Arabidopsis thaliana: one gene and its partners. The protein of the gene in region 1 interacts with the protein of each later gene in a pairwise test. Each region holds a gene or a part of one and is shown on either strand. Other genes may lie near its edges.

Region 1 (8,686 bases):
ATTATAGCCACCTTTATTGTTAGGATAAACAAACGCAAAAGACAATCTAGCATTCCTTCTCCTAGCTGCTACAGAAACTTCTTTAACCTGCAATGAAAACGTGATTTAACATTGTGCTTATGAGAGAAGCATCACCTTTGTACGTTACACAAAACCCCCAAAAATGTGAATTTTAATCAGCACTCCTCAGCAGTAAAAACAAAGTGAGTCCTTTAGCTGAAAATCCGTCATATTTGTAAAAACAAAACTACACAAGAAAAGTTCTCAAAGCAAGCTGCTTTATTGTTGTCTCAAGCACCCAATCTAAATCTTAATGGTAGAAGACATACCAAATCTGTTAGCTCGCGAAGACTGGCATCTTTCCAAGTGTAGATTTGAACTTCATCCTTTGGTTCTTTGCCTCTCACAGCATAATCTTCACTAGTATGATGACCACCACTCTGCAATCAAACCTACCCAATTAATCCTAATTTGCAGACTAATTCAGAAACAAACATAGCCAGTTCTCCAGTGATTAAACTTGCATTCAGTAAAATCAGTGAAGAAGAGTACCTTGGTGAAAACACGAAGAAGAAGGGGACATGTCTGCGATTCGAAGGTTAAAGATAAAGAAATCAATAAGTACAGATAAAAACCCTAAAAGGAAACCCTAAAGGATGATGATTCAACGATTCGCGAATAATGAAATCGAACACAAACCTTTTCACGATCGACAGGTTCAGGTTTAGGGCGAGGAGGTTGTTGGTTAACGCCTCTCGGAGGTGGCGGTAATGGTCTCCCACCACCTTGTCTTCTCGCTGCTTCAGCCATCTCTCTTTTTCTCTCGAGAGAAATCACTACGACGAAGAAGAAGGTAATGGCACAGAGATTGATCGGACCGCTTTAGGCCCATACTTATTTAACCTAATGGGCCTTTTGTACAACAATTTGGGCCTAACTCGTTTATAGATTTTGTTGCCAATGGTCCGTTTAAAAGATTTGAAATATATATATTTTTTTTCTACTTTTTCTTTTCTTGGTTTATAACCTTTGAATATCTATATTTGAAACACACATTGAAGATCACTAACTCGAAATTCAAAAATAAAAAGAGAGACAAATATAGCAATCCATAATCAATGCATAGAGACTTCAAGTGACCTACTAGGATCCCACTAAAAAATAATATGCTGTTTTTTGCCTATTCCTTTTGCATCATTCTTGTTATAGTAAAATGGTAAAAGAAATTATGGAAAATAAGAAAATGGGGTCATTGAATGTCAAGAGGGTAACATTTTCAGACGATAAGGCGCAATGACCCCACACCTCACATGAAGCTGCAGTGCCATTTCCAAAAGAGTGTGTGGATATGAATTTGAACAAAGAAACATTGGTGATGAAATTAAAAAAGAAAAGGAAAGATTACTACAAAGTGAAAAGTATGAAATTATGAAGACTACCCGATCTTCTTTGCCTCCCTTTCCGTATTTGGCATGCCCCTAACCACTACCACAACCTCTTCCCTTCGGAACTTTGTAAATAAACATTCACTGTTTTTTTTTTTGCTTTTTAAATAGCTGTTAATTGTACAAATTCATTTACATGGCTTACTGTTTTTCAAAAGGAGATACTAAATAGTATATAGTACTATAATTTTGTCCACCATGTTCTATGAAACTCGTCCAAACATAAAAAGGTTTTTATATCATCAAACGTACGACTTTCCTTTGTTATTTTCTTGGATTGGACACAACGAGATTGGTTTGGTCACTGTCCGATCTAGTTATTGATATATATATATATATATATATATATATATATATATATATATATTTTTTTAATATAATGTAGATGTAGCCCACTAACTTTTGATAAGCTTTCATTTTTCTATACTTTCATTTTTCTATAATGTAAAAAGATAGATGAAAATGAAACTACTAGATTACAACTTTTTAACAAAAAATAAAAAACTACTAGATTACAGCTCTTGATTGGTTGATAACTTGATATCATATATCGTGTTTGTAGTTGAAGATGTAAAGATTTATCATCTTGTATTTGAATTTTGCACAATATATAATGTGATGATTCTATGTTTGTTTGTAAACTTATGTGCAAATGGGCGATAACTAAACGTTCGTAAAATAGTTACATGTACTAATTAATCGAAGCACATAAATATTATATATATATATATGTATATATATGAAACGATTCATTGATTTTAAGTATTTAATTTATTTTTTAAGATTTTAGTTGTCTTAACCTCGTACGAAGAAGAAGGATATATACTATTTAACTCGTGGAGATGATGAGGTTCGGATATTTTTCCTTAAGACCACAAGACACTGACACGCCGACTGATCGATAAAAAAAGTTAAGGCCTACAATACAAAAGAGTAGCAGATTCCCTTACACGTGTTTCATTTATGATCTGTTAATTAACTCCATTGAGCTTCAATATCTCATTAGCCGAAAATTAACTTGACGTTTTCCATTGAACTGTCGAAAAAATTTGTAGAAAAAGTGAAATGTCCCCTATTTAACTTCCAAGTTTAAAACCTAAAATTAATTAGTTACCGTTTTGATGAATAACGTTGAAAGAATCGTCAACATATCAAATGATGCAGATACAACAAGGGACAAAAACATCAAAAAATTGATTAAAAATAATCATTCAGATATTAGCAATTAAACTGTAAGTAAATGATTGCATATATATATATGAATGAATACATATATATGTATCAAACTGTAAGTAAATAATACATACATATATATATATATATATAGGAAAATATCTCATTTTTCAATCATTTTCAGAGGTAAACATTTTTAAAGACAATTTTACCTAACCCAACATCTTACTATATTTAACCAGCTCTGCGAGAGCTTCAAAACAATGATGAATTTTCTGCCCCTTTTCATTGACCAAATAAAAGTTCACAAATTTGTAAAACCAATCAGCATTAATTTCGCACGTAGTTTACTTCGTCCGATTTTAGATCAAGTAGACATTTTAACCAAACATATTGAATCACGGTTCAATCAAGATACATGGTTGCGAGTATAATATATCAATCCTTCACCGCATTAGAAAACCAAATTTTCTATTTAATTTAGCGTGTTCTTTTAATGAACGCAGCGTCAGCGACAACAAAGAAGAAAAACAGATCTGCGGCGAGAAAAAATACATTGATTAGAGAAGAACTGCCGCAAAAGATGTACGATGATGAAGATTGACGTGACGCTGCTTAATTTCAGCGATTCATTTGATGCAATTGCAATTCATCGGCTATCATCGGCGACTCATCCGAAATTGTTATTTTCAAGCTTTAATGTCGTTTTACTTACCTACTACTTCTCATGACACGTCGTTTCAGTCCGCTATTGCCGCTGGCGCAGCATCAAATAAAAGAACACGCTAGGATAGCTTGAAAAGGGTACAATAACTAGTTATAGAAGAACATGAGCCATAACATTTGGAAACAAAATGAGTTAGTTTGAATTTGAAACATCGCGCTCTATGTAAAAAAAGCAAAAAAGAAAAGAAAAGAGTCCTAATAATTAAAAAGAGAAAATAAAAGGAATTTTCAATGGTCCGACTGTTACAAGTAGATTTCCATTTTTAGGAATCTAGCTATAACGATGAAGACAGAGTTATCATTTTGTTCCATCAAATATATGACGATATTTATATTTAATTTCTTCAACAACAAATATCTCATTTGTTGGTGCCACTTTCACATACTTAGGACGACTAATAATTAATTAAAAAGGATTTATGTAATAACGCACCATATTAACCTGTAACAAGAAGAATTGAAAGTAATACAAGTTTATATATATAGCAACACATTTATCGTGTACGATACTTTATTCCTTTTATCTATTCTTGAAAAAAAGTTACCAATTCTTGAGAAGAAGAAGAAATCAGAATCAAGAGAAGGAGAGAGAAAGATGGGAAGAGGGAGAGTGGAGATGAAGAGGATAGAGAACAAGATTAATAGACAAGTGACCTTCTCAAAAAGAAGAAACGGTTTGCTGAAGAAAGCTTATGAGCTTTCTGTTCTTTGCGATGCCGAAGTTGCTCTCATCATCTTCTCAAGCCGTGGCAAGCTCTACGAGTTTGGTAGTGTTGGGTATATATATCTTTGCTCCTTTGAACCAACTTTTGTGCTATATATATTAAGATTCATCCAATAAAGCTATGTTTTTTATATGAAAATTGATTAATAAATGGGTTCATTTGCTACTTGTTACATCGTACGATTCAAGAGTCGGATCATGTTTTGATCTTGTGGTTATTCTTAATGGTTGTATCGTTTATCCTGTGGTAATTAGGGTTCATCGTTATATCGTGTCTCCCTCTTGGATCCTTTATCATAAGCTAATAGGTCCTTCCGTACGTTATAATTTGTTGATTTCCCATTCATGAATTCCTTTGATTCTTTAATCTTACAGATGACAGGTTTCAAATGGGTTTAATTCTAGCTTTAAAAAAAAAAAAAACAAACAAACTAGGGTTTTCCCTTTTAGATCAGTGTGTAAGATATATAACTTGAGTTCTTGTCGTAAGAAGAATCTTTATTTGTTGAATCGAGCTAATGATCTCCCATTTTTGTTTTAATTGAATTTGTAGAATTGAAAGCACAATCGAACGGTATAATCGTTGTTACAACTGCTCTCTAAGCAATAATAAGCCTGAAGAGACTACACAGGCAAGTGTGTGTACGTACTTTGAATATATTTACAATTATTGTTTCTGATGATAATGATTCTAGCTAACTCTATTTTCTCAAATTCTCATGTTACTATATATATGCATTTCATATAATCTATATGGTGCAGAGTTGGTGTCAGGAGGTGACAAAGCTTAAATCCAAATACGAATCTCTTGTTCGTACTAACAGGTCTAGTAATTAAGAGTTTTCTATAACCCCTTGAAATTAAATCGTTATTGTCATCTTCCATTATATATGTATAGTTACAAATCTATTGTTATGGGTGTTGATAATTGCTAATTATAAAAGGAATTTGCTTGGAGAAGATCTTGGAGAAATGGGTGTGAAGGAACTGCAAGCGCTCGAGAGGCAGCTCGAAGCCGCTCTTACCGCGACTCGACAGCGCAAGGTCACATGATCTAGACTGGTCTTGTTTCATTAAAAATATATTCATAACTAAAACATTCAACTAAAATATGCAGACACAAGTTATGATGGAAGAAATGGAAGACCTTAGGAAAAAGGCAAGTTATATAAAAATGTTTCATACCAAACTGCAAAACATATATGCATATCAATCAATCTATGTTTGAAATGGCAGGAGAGGCAACTAGGAGACATAAACAAACAACTCAAGATTAAGGTTTTTATTTCTAGACATCGCAAAATTATATTATAACTTCTCATATAATTAATTATGACATTTGGATCTTAACTAAACATAAATTTTCAATAGTTTGAAACGGAAGGCCATGCTTTCAAAACCTTTCAAGACTTATGGGCAAACTCGGCGGCATCGGTGGCCGGGGATCCAAACAATTCTGAATTTCCGGTAGAGCCTTCTCATCCTAATGTATTGGATTGCAACACCGAACCCTTTTTACAAATAGGGTAAGAATATACCATTTTTCCCGGCCCTTACAAATAAATGGATAGAAATAAGATATGATTATAAGACTTGTTTGGTATTTGGATTAGGTTTCAACAACATTACTACGTGCAAGGTGAAGGGTCTTCGGTATCAAAGAGTAACGTGGCAGGTGAGACTAATTTCGTCCAAGGTTGGGTTCTTTGACTCTCTGTTGATTAGACCACGATGCCACGGTCAGGCCAATTTCAGCTCTCTACAGTTGTTCTTTTTTCAAATTAGATTTCTGGGTTTTTTTTTCCTATAAGAAAAACTTTTGCACTAGATGTTTGTCATTTAATTTCCAGCTCGTGTGAATCTATATTCGCATGTATGTGCTTTGAAGAATTTCTCCTCTTACTCCTACTTGATCTAAAACATTATTTTTGTTTTGGTTTTACCAACATTTTCCAAATGAAATAAACTTTAATAATTGTTCTAAAATCAATTAAATGAATAGATTTATTTGGCATGAATACTATTAAATCTCAGACATATATTTATGAATGCTGAATTGTGAATAGTAGGAACAAATAATAAATCGTGCGACGTCGAATCAATTGGGTGACGAATAATCAAAGGAGGATTCAGCTCAACTACGCAAGTAGGAGTAATGAACTTCCGAAACAATTGGGTGAGTAAATGAAATCAACCTGTAACTAAAAAAATGAACGAATAATAAAATGCCACGTAGTTGACCTTGGAAAAAGCGCAATGATATGAAGCCAGGTAGGACCCACATTGCTGTTTCTTGATTTGACTTTTGGAAGAGAAGAGCTCCTCTTTCTTTAGCAAACTTTACTGTTGTTGATATATGTCTTTTCCATAAAGTCTTCATATTTATTGAGGTTTTTTTTTTTTTTTTACATACTAGAATTTAAGTTTTTAATACTCTCTTATATTTATGGGCTGTTATCGCAAAGTAGGCCCTTTTATAAGTGGGCCATTACAAAATAAATTCATGGGCCCATATAAATGTTAACGGCACATGTCATATCACAATCATGTATCTCTATTATCTAAAGATTCTAAACGATTTGAAATATTGGATTATGCGTATAATGTTTTTTTTTTCTTTGATGGGCTAAAAGCCTCTACAACATTTGGATTTATGCCCTAAATCTCCTCTCCCGGTGATCTTTTGAACTTGCTTGGGGGGGACGCAACTTCTTCCAAGACAGTCACACATGCTACTAGACCGATCTTTGTATTGTAGAGTTGCCACCGTTGTCGTGTATCAGCTCTTCATCTGAAATGATGCAGTTATTGATTTTTGGCCAATGGATAATGTTTAATGTGCTCTCATAATTTTCTTTATATTTTTTTACCAGTTTGGGAAGTTCTAGACCTCTAGTCTCTCGACTTGAGAAACCAGTAAGTTATATAGTACAGATATTCCTGATTTTATGATTTTGAGGGAAGAAAGCTAAATTGATACATGAAAACAAAACATAATCAAAATTACATTCTAGAGAGGCAAGTGTAAGAACATAGATACATAACACAAGCAGTTCAGAATCATTAAAGAAGTGACTGAGAGAGAGAGAGTGAGAGAGAAATAAGACAACAAGAGAGAAGCAGCTTTAGAGTTTTGTTACTTGTCCTTATACACTCTCAGTACTGCTAAACCTGTTTTTACTTAGTTTGTTTTTTTGTTTTTTTTGTTGAGTGGAGATCACTTTCTTGAAGAACAAGGTAACCCAATGAACAATTGCGTCTCTACTTCAGAACTTGGGCTACTCTCTTCATCACCTCTTCCAGTACTTTCTTGATTCTTATTTGACCAAACTTCGCTTTCATGAGATCCCCACTGCATTCAAATAGAATTATTACACAAAATTAATAGATGCAAATTAGAAGATATATAGAACAATACATAAATTAAAGAAGGTTGATGATTGAAGATAACCAAGAAAAACTAGTAAGGACTCTCCTAACCTAATAACCCCCAAAAAGAACCCCAACTTTCTTATCTTTACCGAATAAAAAAACGAATGTGCAACCCTAACTTGAGACCCATAAGAATATATTATACCTTTTCAGAGAGCTTCTCGTTTTCTGCAGCTAGAGCTTTCTCCTGCAAAAGTTTTAGATTCCAATTTGTAAAAAGCAAGCACAAGAGGCTTACTTACTTGGAATATTACACAATTTGCATACATACTTATATCTGTTTATATACACTCATAAAAACTACTTTACCTTTTGCTTGAGCTGCTCAATTTGTTCCTTAAACACTTGAGTCTAAAAGAGATGAGAAATTGAGTTATAATTATGAGTGGTTTCAGAAGATGATTCGAACAATACTTATAATGTGGAGATATAACAGATAAATATATACACATACCTTTCTTGCTCGAATACATTTGACACTTTTCTCAAGCTGTTGCTCAATCTGTTGCAGCTCCTCGATTGAGCATGTTCCTATGCCTTCTCCCAAGAGTTTACTGATTACAAAAACAAAACACTAATTGATCAAACTCTCCTATGCATCATGAAATAGATATATACAAGTGATGAATAATGTGTTTGTATATATGTATATATCACAAACCGTTTAGAAGCTTCGAGTTGTTCAATTTTCTTCATCATGTTTGCTGCTTCATATTTCAAATGCTGTTGGTTATATCACAGAAATGTTATTGCATGTACATATATATCCTAATTATAAATATGTGACTTGATCCTGTGACCTTGAGATTATATACATATTGTGGTTATATTCATTACCGCTCTTTGATATTATATAGTAAAAGTATTAATTAGCAAGAATTGATATATAGGCAAGAAGATCATAAAGAATAAACCTGCATATTTTCTTCAGAAACCGGTTTGGTGCTGACTCGATCCTTAGTATGCCTCAGATAACGATCTATGGTATCTTGCATACTGTCAAAAACATATATAATTGGAACATTAAAGTAAATCATCAGAGATCAAATTTAGATCCCAATGGTGTTCTCAAAACATTTCTTATTGAAGATATCACTAGACTTAATCAAGGACATAGCTTGAAAAGTCTTGTACTTTTTCCCCCTATTTTAGAAAATCAAAAACATGTGAGGTCTTATCTTTATAT
Region 2 (5,457 bases), on another chromosome or scaffold:
ATCGCCTCTATTAATGTGGTTATTTGAAATTTCTCAATACCTTTAAGGATAGGCCAAACATGATCGAATTTGAATCCTGTCTTGTAATTGCCATATTGTGTTAATAACATCTTCGCTTGGTTTAACTGTTTTGATATTGACAAGAAAAATGAAAATTAGCAAGTAAAATAAATTAATAATGGTAGAGCATGAACAACTAACTCAAGTATGTATACTTACAATGTCATGCTCGGAAGCACCGCTAGGATTCTTGTTTTCAATCTGGTTACACATCCTCTTAGCTTGGAGACAGCAGAAAGAATCGTTGTCATTCGAGTTTGTAAAGATCTTTTTGGTCTTGGTTGACTATGAAAGATCTCAGATTTTGCAATTGTGGCTGGACCAACACGTTTATGGAGTAAGAAAGTGTTACATGATATTATAACTACTTGTATCATAATGCATAATATGACATAGAGGATGAACGTGATTTTGATGCAAGTATTGAAGAAAGAGCCGAGGTCCCAACTCTAGAAGATGAAACGGCGGGAGACGATCGATGATGGTCGATTTCAAGAATTTTTAGCTCGACACAGGAAAATCAAAGACCGTGAAGCTCATATTAAACTTCGAAATGCATTAATTGAACACTTGTGGTCCGTATATACTAATTCTGAGAATTAGTACAATGTAATTTTTTTTTGTTATTTTCAATTTATCGATTGTAATCTTATATTAATTAAGTTAAAATAATTTAGTTATGAAATATGTTATGTATATCAAACTATTAAAAAAATAAAGAAAATCTTAAGTTTAATAATATTATAATAAAAAGTAATATTTTTAGTGTGAAATTGGTGTTATGGTTGGAGATGATAAAACAATTGAAACACCAAAATATCAAATTTGGTGTTAAAATTTGGTGTATTGTGGTTGGGGATGCTCTTATGTTTTGGTTAGATATACGAAAATATCACGCAGATCAAATAAAGTCATAAGCTGATAAAAGACATACAAAGATATACTAAACCGAAGCAATACTTAAATCAAGGATCCAATTTCAACATAAACACAAATTGTCACCATAGAGGCATGCATCAGACATCATCCATCTTTAAATTCATGGATAAAGCTTCAGAGCTTGTCAAATACTCAATGATTTGATCGAGATCATCAAAATCTTCATTGCACTCATCCAAGTTTCCAAGTAAACCGTTGTTGTTGCTATTGTCAGAAACCGCTAGGGTTTGCTCTTCCGTGTTCCCTTCAGAATTCACAGTTACATCATCCATCTCCAAATTCACCGATAAAAATTCAGAGTTTGTCACCGTATCGAAGATTTGATCGAGATCATCAAAATCTTCATTGCACTCATCCAAGTTTCCAAGTAAACCGTTGTTGTTACTATTGTCAGAAACCGCTAGGGTTTGCTCTTCCGTGTTAAACCCATCGAAATTCACAGTTACATAATCTTGAATGCAAACCCTTGCAGAACACGGCTGATGAATTAGGGTTTGCGTTTGATGATCTCTTTGCTTCTCCAACTCCTTGAGATCTCGCAACATAGTCGACATTGAATCCATCGCCTCTCTCAACTCCTCCAGATTCTCTGATTTTAGAAGACTCTCATCTTCCCACCAAAACCTTTCATCACAAGGACGCTGATTGGCGAGAAAAGCAGCGACGACATTATCAACAGAGGAGTGGCCAAAACTGTAGAAAGCGGCGTTGGAATTAGAAGAAACAGGAGTCGCTATGATCGCAATCTCTGCGTCCGAGAGAAGACAAAGTTCAGAAGCTTTGCTATACAGACCCTTACGACGTTTGGAGAATGAAACCGCTCGTGGATTTTTGTTCTGTATCTTCTCTATAGCAATCTTCCTCTTCACGCCACCCATTCTGTTTTTTTTCTCAGTTTCACAAACAAAAGAGAACGAGACAAGACTTGAGAGTTTTGTGTGCTGCCGCTTGTTGCGAAAGAAGAATATGATAATGGACTCACTCTCGTTCTAATCAGATAGATATATATATAGACTTAGTAGCCCTAACTCGTTTTCTAATTAATCCATGTTATTTCCTTTTTCTGATAATTGCTAATCAGTAATTAAACGACTAAATAAACTTGTTTTCCTTTTTTGAAAGTAATTAGTACACAAAACCACCTGAAACAACATCGATTTTGATTTCCTTTTTTACTGATAATACCCTAATCGGTAATTAAACGAAAAATTAAAACTGTTTCCTTTTCTAAAAGTAAATTACTCAAAACCATCTAATACAAACAAAGACCGGTTTAGTTAAACCGAATCTGTATTTAGTGGAATTTTTGGTTTAGTCGGTGAATTTGTTTACTACTGATTGTCTAATAAGCGAAGGAGGACGAGTAAACCAACATGCAAATTCTTCCTTTAACCGGTTTGGTCAACGGTCAATAAAATAAGACCGTTATGAAGGGTAAAAGCGTCAATACAACAAAATATTTAGGAGCCTCTCTTCTTCTCTTTGTGACCGTTACGAATCCAAAAACCAAAATTGCAAACTTTGTGAGGAAGAAGAAGACGACACAGTATTGAAGAATACAATCTCAAACCCTAGTATGGAATCTCTGTTTTATGCTGGTGAATCAATGTCCGATACACAACAAAAACTCAAGCTTTTGGTTGATAATGGTGAATTGGTGATTACGGATTCGGAAGAGGATCTAGATATGGAGATTACGAGAATCTGTTGGAATTGAGTATCCTAAACTAAATCCTACAAGAATAACAAGCTTGGTGAGAAGAAGAAGATGAAGAACAAAGGAAGAAGCAACGGAAGAAGAAGACGATGGCGGAGAAGAGACGTCGTGAAGAGAGGAGTCAAAGGAAGAGAAGAAAGTCAACAAACCAAATGGGTTTGTGTTTTGTGTGTTGGGTCATAGGTAATGAGATAAGGCCCATACGAATAAGTGTTTTGTACAAGTTGTCTAGTTAAGGTCCAACAAGAAGAGGTTGTGACAACTAAAGTAAACTAAGAGAGTGAATTAAGGTGTTGGAGTTCCAACATAGTAGAGTGGATGATGTAAGTCTTAGGACAATGATGTGGTCTAGAGTCTAAGTGTGTGTAGTCTACCAAGTGGAGCAAAACCACTATATGTATGTGTTGTTTGTGTTGTGTAAGAGTATCCAAGAATATTATCAAAGTAGAAGATTAAAAGAAAATAGTTTTTGTTCTTTCTCTCTAAAGACAATGAAACCGTAAAGGAGTGTGAGAAATAGAGAGATTGTGAGAATTACAACAGAATCAAAGATTCGTATGGAAGATTCTGAAAGAAGAACAAGTGAGATTTGGAAGAAGAAATCAGGGTTTTGCTGGAGAAGAATCTTGTATCAATTAGAAACATATAAGTACTGATTCTTCTGTGATCAAAACATGGCTACAGGTTTGTTGAAGACTTCTTCTGTGACATCCTCAGCATTGAAGACTTGTTTAAGAAACTTGATTTTTGAGAAGTTAAAAGGTAGAGACTTCTTGAAGAAACAAGCTCACAGCCATAAATATTCTGGCAAAATCCACATTGTTCATCTTTGTTATTAAGCATTATGTTTTCTTCTCTGTGGCCTTTGTGGATCCTTCTAAGAGACTACATTATTGAGATTTCCAGAGCTACTTTTGTTTTGTAGGTTTAATATTCTGATGTATACATATATGACATTGTGTTGTAATTCTCACATATCTAACCACTTTAGTTAGATCTCTTGCTCTCTTGTCTCTCACACAGATTTTATTCTTTGTTCTAGAGAGACACAAAAGCGTTTTCCTCCAAAGACTACATTGTTAATTACTTGGTTACTCTTACACAACACAAGGACACACATACATAAACTACTTCTACTTGAGACACACACACACTTGCACACTTGCACTTAGACCTAATGATGGCTCTTACACAAGACCTACTTCTACATACATTGGAACTCTCACTCCTTGATTCACTCTTCTACTCTAACTTAGACTTACAACACAACACTCTTTAACTAAACATACTTGGGCCTAATTCATCTTCAGCCCATTACAACCATATTACAAAACACAAAGCCCATATGTTTGTTGACTTTCTTCTCTTCCTTTGACTCTTCTCTTCACGACATCATCTTCTTCTTCCTCTGTTCTTCATCTTCTTCTTCTCATGGATTCTTCTTCTTCTTTTTCAGATTCAATCAAGGATACAATTCCAACACATTGCCGTCGTAGAGCCCACGAAGCCCGTTGTTTGCTAACCCATACATGTAGCAAGCTGACCGGCCTGGCCAAAACCGGTTTCGATAGGCCTAATACTATTTGAATACTATGTGTTTGAAATTATTTTGGACTTATATATATGTACACGTGAAAACCAAGAAACATTGAATTATTGAAAAAATAGTCATGGTCCCATTACCAATTGAATAAAGTTCTTTATTTCTAAATTTCAATCTTGCTTCCCTCCAAGATTATAAGTAATGGAACGCCATGCCCCACGCCCACGGGCAACCAATTCATAATGCATGGCAAATAATCATTTGAGAATATGATTACCGGTAAAGATAGACTTAAAATATTAGGTAGTTTGGTTATTAAAGATAAACTTAGCTGGAAATGTGTTTGTTTCAATTAGAAATCATAATCTAAACATAAAGAAACTTAGAGTACTTCTATATATGTTTAATTGATGTCCAACAAAGTTATAATTTATCTTAAACCCTTTACCAAAAAAGATTATTTTAAGTTTAGCGTTTATTTAAAATCACTGTAGAAATATACAGTTTTGTTTTACGTTGCATCAACATTTAAAAGAAAAAAAGAAGGAAAATTGGTATATAATTAACAACCAAGTAGAAGTTAGCTATCAGAAAATAAAACAAAATTATCGGCATATAACCAAAATGAAAAGAAGAATGTCACTTACAATAATTAAGTGCGAAAATATAGAAGAGCTACATATATCTGCGTATGTATAGAAACAGCTAGCTAGCATGCAATGTAGCGGGAAAGCGAGTGCATGGACTTCAGTGAGTGTGTCTCATATAATGCCATTTCAACTTTTAACCTAAAAAGCAAAACTCTCTCTTTGTTTCAACCAAAATACAAAACAACCACTTGCGAGAGTCAATAAAGCATCAGACAAACAACTAACCACATACACACCACAGCTTACATATATTGATGTCTTTGTACACATTCCATTGGAAATATCAAATTCTTGAAAAGATTCTTCTTGTTATCATCTCATAAACTTATTTAGTATATATTTATCAAAAATAAAAAATTAATATAAATATTATTGAGTCACCTGTTTTACTAAGAGTTTTAATATAAGTATATAACAGTACAAAAAGTTTTAGATTTCAATGTTTGTTTATATAGAAATATACTAGGTCTACCCCCTTTTCAACGGGAAATGCTATTATTATTTCCTTTTAACTTCTTGCTCTTGTACGTACGTAGGAATTAAGACAG
Region 3 (5,645 bases), on another chromosome or scaffold:
AGATGGTGTCTTGTTTCATTCGCATCAGGTATAGATGTGTTGGGCAAATCCAACATCATCCATTCCAACTGCGACTAGAGAAGTAGGTTCTTGTTTTTCTTTAGCTTTGAGATTGATGACTGCATATTTTATTTTCTGTTGTAGGTTTTAGTTTTCGAAATTTGCAAGTTTTGGTTTTCTAAGCTCTGCAGTTTTAGTGAAATTTCAGGTTTTTGGTTTAAGAAATTTGCATGTTTTGGTTATCTAAGTGGCATGTTTTGGCTTGAGAAATTTCAGTTTAGTTTAGTTTTCTCTTCTTACCCTAAGTTTAGTTTCAGTTTCAAGTTTGTTTCAGGTTTCTCTTCTTACCCTAAGTTTAGTTTCAGTTTCAAGATTTGAGTTTAACTTGGTTAAGTTTATGTTTTAGTTTGGTTTCAGGATTGAATTCATATAAATCAATGTTATTGTTTCAAAAAAGTCTTTCAATTAGTCGGTCTAACCTTCCTAACTTGGCACACATATGACACTTCAATATAATGTTCAGGTTTAACGTTATCATGTACCCTTTATTGCAATACTCAAATCTTCAAGAATCGGGTAAAACGAGATAAGCAACTGTATAGCTTCATTATTGGCGTATATACGTAGACAAAACTCACTTAGGCATTGTAATCTGCAAATTCATTGGCATCAAATATCCAACAAAGCCAGAGTTTTTCCACCTCTTGGACAAAACACTACTTTTAACAACATTTTTTGTTGGAAGCTGTCACCAAAGCATCTGACTCATCAAAGTTGGCTTCTCTGCATAAATTATCGACATCTAACCTTCAATATCTATTGTATATTAAAAATCTGAACATAGCAGGTTTTCAAACTCAAATATAAGACTCAGACAATTATAGAAGAAGCCAAGACTGTTTTTAGAAACTTGAGAAAATAGCATTCATACTTGGGAAAACATACAATTCAATACAAACTCGTAATCAGGCACAAGAAGAGACAGTTAAACTCATAATCTAAATGAAGAATACATATATAATAGATCATTATAAAACGTACACCAAGTCAAAGATCAGTTTTTGGAACAACAAGAACTAATTATAAGGGAACATCATTGGATCTGCAAACGACGGTGCTTGATTCCATGCCGCAAACTGATCAAAGGGGACAAGTGGGGTTTGTGTCTGCATCTGAGGAGGAAAAACCATGGGAGGAAGATCAAAGTTACTTCCTAGACCAGATCCTTGTTCCCCAAGTAAAGCCGATTGGTCAAAGCTAGAAACTGAGTCAGGGACTTGATAGAAGCTACGGTTGTCATGGTTATAGAGAAAGACTGAAATTCTGCTCTGATTTTGACTCAATGATGACGTCGATAGGTCTTGCTCTGTGTTTGACACACCACTCATCAATGGTTCTGTCCATTGTTGATGACGATGATCCTCAATTAGCGAAGGAGGAGGAGACAATGGATTCGTTGTGGAAGAAACCGCACGGGTCTGACCAAACTCGGTCTGGTTTTTCTCGGGTTGGAGTAACAGAAGCTTATCTTGTAGTACTCGTAGACCACTTTCTAACGAATCCTCCATCTCTAAGACTTTCTCCGACAATTTAGTGTCGTCGAGGATCTTCTTACGTAGAAACAGAGAAAGGTTGGTTCTTTTCTTGCATCGCTCTCTCTCGTGTAATCTGCTAAACCTCTCAGCCATGTCTCGAACTTTTGATTGATCCTCCGGCCATGTCTTGATGAGTTTTCCGTCACGACCATAGTATATGACACAGACATCGATGTTGCACAGAGTTGAAAGCTCCAAGGCTTTCTTGAACATGGTCTGTTCTCTCATAGACAAATTCGTGGTCTTTTTTGCAGTAGAAGAAGAAGACAGGGACGATTTCTTGAAACAAGTTTGGTTTCTCACAGACAATTTGGTTTTCTTCTTCGTCGACATTGAAGAATCCATTGTTGTTGTTTACCCACAGAAAAAGAAGAAGAAGATACCTAGTTTCTTATCAGAGAGAAACCTAGAAAATAAACTTAGTGTAACTAACACACGGTTCAGGGTTATATAGAATTGTGAAATTCTTGTATTTCCATATAATATTTGATATTGATTTTACTAAACCAAGAGAGACAAATTGAGCTGTGGGTTTTATTTCCTTTTTCTTTAGAGTATCTTTTCTTCGTTAAATGATGATGATTTACTTCTATTAATCTAACCGTTGTGATATTTAAGTAATGAAATTCCCTTTTTGTTTGCTGTCTATGAGATAAATCTTAATTAGATACGATTTTCCTTTACCAATATCAATGTAACCGTTGTAGATACGATCTTAGATACGATTTCCCACATCCAGTATCTTATTATATAAAGTATAGTTTTTAAAGTTACTAACTCATAAGATTGTGGCACGTGTCAAGTCTAATAATGAGAAGTTTATATGTGTCATTAAAGATTTAACTTTTTAATTTTCTTAAAAAAATAGAAAACCTTAAAAAGAAAAATTTACATATATTAATTTCTTATTATATAAAGTACAGTTTTCAAAATTACTACCTCATAAGATTGTGGCACGTGTCAAATCTAACATTGAGATGTTTACATGTGTCATTAAAGATTTAACTTTTTAATTCTCTTAAAAAAATAAAAAACCTTAAAAAGAAAAATTTACATATATTAATTTATATATATCTAACAATATTTAAACTTTATTTTTCTTAACAAAAAAGAAAATTAACAAATTTGAAAACACATATATTATTGGTCAATTAAATAAATAATCATGTATTAATTTAAAAGAAAAATCATTAAGTATGAATAATAACTAATTAAAAAGACCACTTAAGTTTAAAATAACAATATAATTTATTTAAAATTAATTTAATTGGATAAAATTGTGTTTATCATTGTAATATAGTGTTTTCATTTGTTAAATTTTGAACACAAAAATATTTTTAAAATTTAGTGACCTTATTATAATAAATTTTTAAATATTTAAGATTTATTCTAAGAATTTTAACGTATTCGGTGATTGAGCAACTTGGATCCTTTGATATGTCACTAAAAGCTTATAACTATGTTTTATTGTAAAAAATTTAACGCATGTAGTCATAAGTTAAAACACAAGATTTTTGGAGAGAACAACTTATATGATTTACTTTTCAATTACTTAAAAAGAAGTTAGTATATTTTTTAATTAATTTTAACTCATTTAAAATAAGTTTACATAAGAGAAAATTACGCCATATATAAAGAAACATTTTAAAAAGTTTTGCTTTTCAAATATTTTTGTGGATTTTTTTTTTGTTAAGTTTTGTTTACTGTTTATTATTTTTTTAATATCAACAAAGATATATATTAGATCTGATATAAATATATTTTTTTAATAAAAAAAAATTCACTTAAGATGAAGTGTTTAGAATGAAAATCGAGTATATTATGATGAAATAGATACTTAAATTGTATTGCAAAATTGAATGTGTAAGATAGAAATTTGTAGGTTATTATTTAGAATTCAAATATCATCAATAAGCTTGAATGTGTAGAATTAAAATGTATGATAAAAGAGAATGTATAAGCATCAAATTTTGTTAAATAAAAAAATATTAAATTAATTGTCAAAAAAAATATAAATTACTATTTTATTATTCAACATTTGAATACTGTCAATAAAGATTTACATCTAAATCACACACCCGCCTATTTAGGCGGCCTTATTAGTTTTTTATAAAATAGTCCCAAATTTTAGTTTTAAGTAAACACAAAGAGGAATATTTATACTCTTCCGAGTTCGCTGACATATGGTAAAATGGGCCTTCGTTTTCTTTTATCCGCCTTCATTGTTGGGCCCTAGCCCAGTTGTTTTTTTTGCGCAAAATTAATACATCGATGGGGATTGACTCTTGACGCTGTCGATCATCACTATTCACTAGCACTAGTAACAATGAACAAGTCATTGCTTACCTGCAGAATTCATTTTCCACGATCAATTTAATTTGGCTGGACAAAATACAACGTTTTTTTTTCATGTTCCCTGTACGTAACTAAAAAGTAAGACAAAAGGAGTGGAAATGGACATTATTCAACGTAAAGACTTTTTAAGTCGTTGCGTTTAACGTGAAAAACGCCTCGGAGGGTCAAGCTGTGTTGGAATTATCTTTGTGGAATAGAGTCTATTATTTTTGTATATAAAGAGATGGGCATGAAAACATGTTACGTACCATCACAATTTCCAGATTTTATTTTTTTGCTTTTTCACTATCAATATTCAAGAAAATTAAATTAGCTTAAGAATGATGGAAGGCTTTTGGAACTCAAAGAGTATCATTCGTATTACTCTCTCTTTTATTTTCTTATTCATTTGTCATTTTCTGGACGTGCTTGCGGCTCCAACTAGGAACTTGTGTCGTCCCGAACAAAGGGATGCACTCCTCGCGTTCAAAAACGAGTTTGAGATTGGGAAGCCTTCTCCTGATCATTGTAAGATTTATGGCATTGAATCTCCTCGGAAGACGGACTCATGGGGGAATAACAGCGACTGTTGTAATTGGGAGGGAGTCACGTGCAATGCCAAGTCCGGGGAAGTGATCGAGCTAGACCTAAGCTGCAGCTCTCTCCATGGCCGGTTTCATTCCAACAGCAGTATTCGAAACCTTCATTTCCTAACCACTCTAGACCTTTCATTTAATGATTTTAAAGGTCAAATCACGTCATCAATTGAAAATCTTTCTCATCTCACCTATCTCGACCTTTCTTCTAATCATTTTTCGGGTCAGATTCTGAATTCAATCGGAAACCTTTCTCGTCTCACCTATCTCAACCTTTTTGATAATCAATTTTCGGGTCAGGCTCCATCATCAATTTGTAATCTTTCTCATCTCACTTTTCTAGATCTTTCTTATAATCGGTTTTTTGGTCAGTTTCCGTCTTCTATCGGAGGTCTTTCTCATCTCACCACTCTCAGCCTTTTCAGTAACAAATTTTCGGGTCAGATTCCATCTTCAATTGGAAATCTTTCTAATCTCACCACTCTCGACCTTTCTAATAACAATTTTTCGGGTCAGATTCCATCTTTTATTGGAAACCTTTCTCAACTTACCTTTCTCGGCCTCTTTAGTAACAATTTCGTTGGTGAAATCCCATCTTCTTTTGGCAATCTAAACCAGCTGACCCGCTTATATGTTGATGACAATAAGCTCAGCGGAAACTTTCCCAATGTCCTACTGAACTTGACAGGGTTGTCACTTTTATCACTCTCCAACAATAAGTTCACAGGCACGCTTCCTCCTAATATCACTTCACTATCCAACTTGATGGATTTTGATGCAAGTGACAACGCCTTCACCGGAACGTTCCCTTCTTTTCTCTTCACCATTCCTTCTTTGACTTACATTCGTTTGAATGGTAACCAACTCAAAGGCACTCTTGAGTTTGGAAATATATCTTCACCATCTAACCTATATGAGTTAGACATTGGCAACAACAACTTCATAGGACCAATCCCTAGTTCCATTTCCAAATTAGTCAAACTTTTCCGACTTGACATTTCCCATTTAAACACCCAAGGCCCAGTTGACTTTAGTATCTTCTCCCATCTCAAGTCACTCCTAGATCTAAACATATCCCATTTGAACACCACCACTAGGATCGACTTGAACTATTTCTTAT

The links.
Region 2: the proteins of AGL6 (region 1) and AGL97 interact in a two-hybrid assay, tested with the Arabidopsis thaliana proteins (one large-scale study listed by BioGRID).
Region 3: the proteins of AGL6 (region 1) and AGL53 interact in a two-hybrid assay, tested with the Arabidopsis thaliana proteins (one large-scale study listed by BioGRID).

The regions. Positions count from the first base shown.
Region 1 is NC_003071.7:18,800,514-18,809,199, forward strand, and holds AGL6 (AGAMOUS-like 6), read left to right. Parts: upstream 1-3,676; 5' UTR 3,677-3,939; coding exon 3,940-4,121; intron 4,122-4,621; coding exon 4,622-4,700; intron 4,701-4,830; coding exon 4,831-4,892; intron 4,893-5,012; coding exon 5,013-5,112; intron 5,113-5,185; coding exon 5,186-5,227; intron 5,228-5,304; coding exon 5,305-5,346; intron 5,347-5,439; coding exon 5,440-5,594; intron 5,595-5,681; coding exon 5,682-5,778; 3' UTR 5,779-6,073; downstream 6,074-8,686. Other genes in the region: SAP18 (SIN3 associated polypeptide P18), read right to left, coding at 1-87, 330-440, 553-585, 700-810; AGL20 (AGAMOUS-like 20), read right to left, coding at 7,286-7,420, 7,646-7,687, 7,810-7,851, 7,955-8,054, 8,162-8,223, 8,415-8,496. UniProt on the Arabidopsis thaliana protein: Probable transcription factor. Forms a heterodimer via the K-box domain with AG, that could be involved in genes regulation during floral meristem development.
Region 2 is NC_003070.9:17,231,059-17,236,515, forward strand, and holds AGL97 (AGAMOUS-like 97), read right to left. Parts: upstream 1,894-5,457; 5' UTR 1,878-1,893; coding exon 1,077-1,877; downstream 1-1,076. UniProt on the Arabidopsis thaliana protein: Putative transcription factor.
Region 3 is NC_003076.8:9,524,036-9,529,680, reverse strand, and holds AGL53 (AGAMOUS-like 53), read right to left. Parts: upstream 1,941-5,645; coding exon 1,077-1,940; downstream 1-1,076. Other genes in the region: AT5G27065 (uncharacterized protein), read right to left, coding at 4,979-5,014, 5,077-5,352; RLP53 (receptor like protein 53), read left to right, coding at 4,271-5,645. UniProt on the Arabidopsis thaliana protein: Probable transcription factor that may function in the maintenance of the proper function of the central cell in pollen tube attraction.